Ovis aries: one gene and its partner. Each later gene encodes a partner of the first gene's protein in a complex. Links are inferred from orthologs where the notes say so. Each region holds a gene or a part of one and is shown in the gene's direction. Other genes may lie near its edges.

Evidence for each region. The genes of interacting proteins can lie anywhere in the genome.
Region 2: CTNNA1 (region 1) and CDH26 share a complex: the UniProt entries of both Homo sapiens proteins name them as parts of the cadherin:catenin adhesion complex. The link is inferred for Ovis aries from reciprocal best matches to the Homo sapiens genes CTNNA1 and CDH26.

What each region holds. Positions count from the first base shown.
Region 1 is NC_056058.1:47,904,739-47,908,384, forward strand, and holds part of CTNNA1 (catenin alpha-1), read left to right. Parts: intron 1-747; coding exon 748-948; intron 949-1,459; coding exon 1,460-1,611; intron 1,612-3,646. UniProt on the Homo sapiens protein: Associates with the cytoplasmic domain of a variety of cadherins. The association of catenins to cadherins produces a complex which is linked to the actin filament network, and which seems to be of primary importance for cadherins cell-adhesion properties.
Region 2 is NC_056066.1:56,278,278-56,282,023, reverse strand, and holds the start of CDH26 (cadherin-like protein 26), read left to right. Parts: upstream 1-1,308; 5' UTR 1,309-1,406; coding exon 1,407-1,493; intron 1,494-3,746. UniProt on the Homo sapiens protein: Cadherins are calcium-dependent cell adhesion proteins. They preferentially interact with themselves in a homophilic manner in connecting cells; cadherins may thus contribute to the sorting of heterogeneous cell types.

The sequences.
Region 1 (3,646 bases):
CCGGCCCCATGCGTTGTGAGCCCTATCATGAGGGCTTTCTGCTGGTGGACTGCACAGTTCCTGGTGGTGAGAACATTCCCTTTCCCATTCTGGGTCAGCCCCTGCAGATCTTCATCCATTTCAGTGGCTGCCCAGTGCCCATAATTTATTACTCTGTTCTGGGACATTTTGGTTGCTCCTACTTTGCTATTATAGATGAGGTTAACGTGAACTCCTCATTCTGGGGTTCCCAATACCCAGGGTCAAGCTTTGTCTTTGAGGAAAAACAGTTCTGGTAGATCTTCCAAATCCAACTCCACGAGGCTTTTGCCTGCCTTCCAGGCTCTTCTCATGTTCCAGAGTTGTCCTGATGTCTTGGTCGTTTGTCTGAATACCACTGGCATCTCCTGGAGCGAGGGGCAAGGGACTGGGAATAGTGAACCTTGTCTTCTAATTTAGACTTTGGGATATAAAATCAATGAAATTGTTTAAGGGAAAGAAATTATCAAGGATTCTGAAAGATGGGCGTCTCTGCCTGTCTCTTCTAAACCTGGAATAAAGATGGTTATTCTTGGGGTGATTGCAGGTCCAGTTTCCAGGCAGTTGATCCCTGGGTAGTCTGGTCTCTTGAGTGAATGATGTGCAAAGCTTTTGGCACTGTAGCTGGCACGCAGTGAGCACTGGATGAGTGACAGATGCCAGCTTAAAATCGTCCACTTCTGGTGGGAGGCCTCCTCCCTCATTCAGCTGTTTTTGTTTGTTCCTCAGAGAATCACATTTTGGAAGACGTGAACAAATGTGTCATTGCTCTCCAAGAGAAAGATGTGGATGGGCTAGACCGCACAGCTGGTGCAATTCGAGGCCGGGCTGCCCGGGTCATTCATGTTGTCACCTCAGAGATGGACAACTATGAACCAGGAGTCTACACAGAGAAGGTGCTGGAAGCAACCAAGCTGCTCTCCAACACAGGTGCGGGACCCCTCCCTCACCTGTGCTCCTCACACACAGATGGCCCTCTGGTTAGGAAGTAGGACACTGGGGCTCAGTTTGGTTTTCGGACAAGAGTTCTGGAAGGTACATCGGATTTATGAGTCATTGGTCAGCCACAGTAAGACCACACAAACACGTTTCCCTTACTTGTGTCCCACAGGTAGTAATGGGAGTCGTTCTGAACTCTGAACTTCTGAGTTATATCTCTAGTTAGTGAACACACTAAATTAAGGAGAGTCCCATTCTAGTAAGGCCTCTAGTTAATCCCAATTCAAATTCTCAGCCATCTAAATCCTGTGTTCCAGAATCTGGCCAGAGACAAAGAAGAGGATTCAAGTCTTTGTAAAATATGGCATTTAATTTATTTGAACTATAAATACCTCTCACATAGGTAGAAGCAGAGGCTCTTCATCATACACTCTGCCTCTCTGCATCTGACTGAGGGATTTAGGAGGGCTGGTGGTGATGTTATCATCTCTCTTCTCCGCAGTCATGCCACGTTTTACTGAGCAAGTGGAAGCGGCTGTGGAAGCCCTCAGCTCAGACCCTGCCCAGCCCATGGATGAAAACGAGTTTATTGATGCCTCCCGCCTGGTGTACGATGGCATCCGGGACATCAGGAAAGCGGTGTTGATGATAAGGGTGAGTAACTGCATTTCAGATGTTTTAACAGCTTCCTTCTTATCATTTGCTAAACTTGAGCAATGCATCATTCTGGAACTCAACAGATGTGTTGGCAATATATTAAAACCATGAATCTAAGGGCTGTTAGGAAGAGATATGTTTAATTACATTGTTTAAAATGACTTTTAGTTGCAAGTTAGAGCCCAAACTTGGGCTGAGAAAAGGGGACCTAGTATGAATTGAGGCTTCCTCTTGAGTTAAAGGGCAGTGATAGAAAATAAAGGCTCCTCAGTGAATTTCAGAGAAGGGAATATTTCCTTTATTCAGGTTGAAACTGTTCTTTACATGGAGCACTCCTCACCTCAGAGGGGTGGCAGGCAGGCAGGGTACTAGAGCCCAAGGGTATTGAGGGGAAGGATGAGGGGCTGTGCAGCCCTTGGTGATGCTCCTGATCTCTAGGGCCAAGTGTCGAGCCCTCTCACCGTGGCTGAAGGGAAGTGCCACCTGCTCTGGGCCCCGTTTGACCCGTCCTCTCTGAGCCAGAGGCAGTTCTCAGCGTCTGAGGCAGTGTCTGGGGTCCCCTGGGCATGAACAGTAGGGTTTTGAGAAACCACCTCCTCCGTGATCATCCCGTGTCTTAGGCTGGGACTCACATAGCAGTTGATGCCTCACACGCTGTTTTGAACATGAATGTGTTGCTCTGGAAGTGGAGAGCAGGACCTGTGCCAAGCTCTCCCGGAGTCACCCCCAGGCTCGGGCCAGCCCTGCCGTAGCCACAGAGCCAGCATTTGGAAGGCAGGCCTGCTGAGTAGACGGCTGCTGGCCTCTGCTGACAGTCTAGTCTTGTCGGGAAGCTTCCGTTACACCTTCATGGTTTGCTAGTCCGACCGCCCAAGGCGGACGGGGTTCTGTCCCCCTTTTTACCCCCTCAGCTGGAAACAGAAGCCATTTCTAAGGTAGTTGCATCAGGCTGGATACATTCTGTATGCAACGTAGCAACATTTGGGCATTACTGCACTTCTCTCAGGGGTAAGGAGCAACAAGAATGGCTCAAGGACTGTATGGCTGGCTGCTGGGTGTTCCTGCAGGCCCGGGTCACCTGCACATACTGGGGGTTGGGAGGGGATCTGGGGGAGCCTGTTGCTTTGTTCACCCCTGCTGCTGTGCTGGAGAGCAGCCCATGCTCAGGGAGGCCTGGCCCCCAGAGGTGCGAAGGGGTCCCTGGGTCAAGCGCACCAGTGATGGCAAAACGCAGCCCTGTTTTTCCAAAGTTCTTTGCATGCGGACAGAGAATAGAAGAAACATTAATAATCATGAGTTGCTGAGTGTCTGAGGTTAATGCCTTTGGGGTTTTAAATGAGCTGGCACTGCACACACCCCAGGATACCTGCACATCCAGGGCCTGTTCTGTGGAAGCAGGGTTCCTCCTCACATCTGAGACTCTCAGCAAGTTCCCGCATCTCTCTAAGATGCAGATGATGGTGTTGGTAGCTTGATGGGATGAACTGGAGGTCAGGTCAGGGCCTGGCATGTAGTAGCTGTTTCTTGTGTGCTTACTGCTGTGTGGGATCGTAAGTACAAGAGGCCCTGGCAGGTGTGGTGAGATGGAACCTGGGTGTGGTCACCTGGGAGGGCTCAGGGAGCAAGGACGGGTAGGTCTGCAGCAGCCTTGGTTTAGTTCCTCCTTTTTGTCTTGATTTAATTCAGGAACCATCCTTCCAACCCAGGGCCTCTTGGTTTCTTGATGCCTTGTAGTTAGCCTCTTTTGCCTGGTCCTTGTCATAACCAGCATCCCCATCATCCCTTCCGTCAGCTGCTCCCTTTGGTTCTGTGACTTCCAACAATGCTTTGAGTCCATCAGGATATTCAGCCGGTTGGTCCTCCCCACTTGCAACCCTCCCTCAGCCTCTTGGGTCCTTGTCTCACTCCTATTCCAGCTTCTGTTTCATCAGTACAATCTATTTTGCACCCTTTTACTCCCCTTATTTGCCTTTCAAAATACAGCCCTAGTGAAATTCTGTCTTCTGCTGAACATGGTGCATAAAAGTACAGT
Region 2 (3,746 bases), on another chromosome or scaffold:
CTGTCCATCACCAACTCCCGGAGTTTACCCAAACTCATGTCCATCGAGTCGGTGATGCCATCCAACCATGTCACCCTCTGTCGTCCCCTTCTCGTGCCCTCCCTTCTGCCCTCAATCTTTCCCAGCATCAGGGTCTTTCCAAATGAATCAGCCCTTCGCATCAGGTGGCCAATAGATTTACATGGAATAAAAATATCCATCTTGAAAGTAAATGAAGATTTATTTATTCAAAGTTGTAAATTTGATCATTATTATTCTGCTTCTTTAAAAAAATTATTTCTTTATTTTAATTGGAGGATGGATAATTACAATATTGTGATGGGTTCTGCCGTACATCAGTATGAATTGGCCATAGGTATACATGTGTCCTGAACACTCCTCCCACTCTCCTCCCCACTCTATGTACAGGAAATATAGAAAGGTTTAAAAATTGCATTACTTACTCCTTTTAGTAACAAACAACTTGGATTCAGATTATAAACAATTCAAATTAAAAAGTACAGCAACCTGTCACAGAGCCATGAAAATACATTAAGACAAGGTAAATATTATCTTTTATTTCACCTCTTGAAGAACTGTTTAGTGTTTTCAACAAGGTGATGTGATCACAGGTAATACGTTAAGGTAATGGGGACTAATGAGTGTTAGATCTTGTTTTCCACTTGTTCATTGCAGCCTGAAGTATTGGTATGTTAGAACCTCAACTTGTCTTTTTTCCAGAATCCTAATGTAAAGGCCCCAGGTCGGTACAGAGACCCTCCCACAGGGAGCCTCTTTCCCATCCCTCCTCCCTCTTTCTTTCATCTCAGAATCAAAAAGGCAGGTTCATCTAAACGTAAAGGAGATTTTGGTGAAGTCTATGAACCCCAGAACTTCAAGAAATGATTGGGATAAAGATGGTTAATGCTTTGGAAGGTAAAATTATACTTTTCTCTTTTTTTTCGTCTCTTAATAAAGTTATTCTTTTTTGGAGTCCTTTTCCAGTTCTTTGATTTCAAGCAATAGAGCCTATAAGGAAATGAGCATTAAAATACTCTGCTACAAGGAAGAGATCAGTAGGCATTCCACTGATTTTGGAACCAAAAACAAAGAAACCAAACCCCTATTTCCCCATAGATACTGGCTTCACCCTCCTCTGACTGAGCCCTGGTCTCCTGGGGTCAGACGCCTGCTGTGCGTATCGCTGGGGCAGTTTTATTTCCTCCACTCCCTTCCTGAGAATTCTGCCTGTGGTTAATGAGGCCAAAGGCTAAGCCTCAGCCTCCCATCCCACCCCTGATAAATACAAGAATGCTCGGGAGCAGGGACGGGAAGAGTTGAGAGAGTGTCTGTGACAAGGTGACCAGACGGTGATAGGAGAAGAGAGCCTGCTGGGAAGGACGGGCCCACAGCCAGGAGGACTTGCCATGCCCGTGGGCTGTGGGTGCTCACCAGGCGGCATGCGCTGCAGGGTTCACCCCGCGCTGCTGCTGCTCCTCGCGTTCCTGATGCTGGTGAGCAGGGACTGGTACCCACAACGTGGGGTTTACCTGCTGGGGACCGGGAGCTGACCGCACAGCTCCAGCTGGCTCTGCCTGTTCAAGGGTGGGGGAACGGGGCTGAGTGTGATGCCCTGCAGCTGCGGGCGGGGGTGGGGGGGTTGGGAGCTTTAGTACTTTCTTTAGGGAAAGAAGAGGGGTTCCAGAATTAACACCAAGGAGGGATTTGGCAGAGTAGTGGGAACAGGCTAAGACTGGTTTATATAGGATACATACGTTTAGATTTGTATCAATGCGTTTCCTAAGGACATTTCTTTTCACTTTACATAAGACTGAAAAAATCTCAATTGTGTATGTCGAAGAGGGTTTGAGCAAACCCATGGGGGTGGGAGGGCTAAATCCCCCTGCCTCCCCACCCTCTGCCCCTCACCAGTTGCCATGGCTCAACTCGGAAACAAACAGTAGAATCAAGACGGAAATGTCTGGGCTTGTTGCTTGTACTTACCGTGGACAGAGTTTAGGCTGCATCTGCCTGTGGGGCATGGCCGCTCTGCTCAGCCCGCTTTCCTCAGACAGAGAGGGAGAGCCATGGGGCTCTGGCACTGCTCCTGGGTTCTCCCTTATAAACCCGGCCAGGGCAGAGGCAGGAGGCCCTGCAGTGGGTGGGGGTCAGGATGGTGGATCTGCACTGCATCGTAACCTGGCTTGGCACCTGGGCTGTTGCTTGGCCTCGGTCCTCACCTTGGTTCAAGCTTGACTCTTCTCAGATGCTGCGAGAGTCCCAGTGCCCAGAGGCCACTCACCCCTGGATTCAGCAGAGCTGATCTGGGGATGCGGCCTAGGCATCTGGGTTTTCAAGGCTCTACCTTCATCTTGTTAAGCCTCATTGCCTCCATCTGAAAATGGAGCTACTGCAGGCACTTACTTGACCTGGGTGGCTGTGGGAGTCAATGAGGAAATGCAGAGGATCTTTTCTTGCTGTTCTCCGTGCCCTGACAGGATGGTTATTCTCTTCACTCAGTGCCTGGGCTGCTACTGTTGGTGGGCCACTCGTTCCGGGCCAGGTGCTTTCATAAGTGCTGGGTATTACTGTAAACAGAAGAGGAAACAAAAAGTCCCTAGTTGTCTGGCCAGCTCTGCTTCTGAAATTCGATGCCCTGTTCGCCACCCTTTGCTTAATGTTCAGAAATTTTTCTTGGCTACTTTGAAAAAAGTTTTAATTGGAGTATAGTTGCTTTACAGTGTTGCTACTTTCTGCTATATGGCAAAGAGAAAGAGCTAAATGTATACATTTAGGGGGGCATTTCATTCCTGTTCAGGTCACCACTGAGCACTGAGCAGAGTTCTCTGTGCCACCCAGTAAGTTCTCATTAATTATCTATTTTATACATAGTAGGAGAAGGCAGTGGCACCCCACTCCAGTACTCTTGCCTGGAAAATCCCATGGACGGAGGAGCCTGGTGGGCTGCAGTCCATGGGGTCACTAAGAGTCACTAAGGGCACGACTTTCACTTTTCACTTTCATGCATTGGGGAAGGAAATGGCAACCCACTCCCGTGTTCTTGCCTGGAGAGTCCCAGGGACGGGGGAGCCTGGTGGGCTGCCGTCTATGGGGCCGCACAGAGTCGGCCACGACTGAAGCGACGGCAGTAGTAGTAGTGTGTGGATGGCAACCCCAGTCTCCCAGTTCATCCCACCTCACACTCCTCCCCTTGGTGTCCATACATTTGTTCACTGTGTCTCTGTCTCTATCTCTGCTTTGCAAATAGGTTCATCTGTACCATTTTTCTAGATTCCACATACATGCATAATATATGACATTTGTTTTTTTCTTTCTGACCGCTCCTAGTAGAACTCTGTTTTAGTAGCCCACATTAGCCTGGATTTGGATATGTCACAAATCAAACCTTGTTCCCATCTTTCTCTTACTCTTGCTCCTACCCCTAACTGAACTCAAGAGAAAACAGAGCTGTCTGTTTCTCATTTCTGCGTGTTAGCACAGAGCCCAGGCAGGTTAATTCATGACTGAGGGTGTGGTGGGTGGGGTGGGCAGTGGGCAGCAGGGCTGGACTGTGGGTAGCAATTCAGTGTTTGGTGGAAGCAACTATATATAGATTCCGGGGATCAAGGCCAAGGGAGATAATGGGATAAACAAGTGTTCCGTGGTTTTGAGCAATCTGTACTCTGGACCCTCAATTGGAGAAGACCTTTGTGTCCAAGAGGTGCCCAATTTTTTGCTGAATTGGCTATAAGTAACCTATTCCTTTC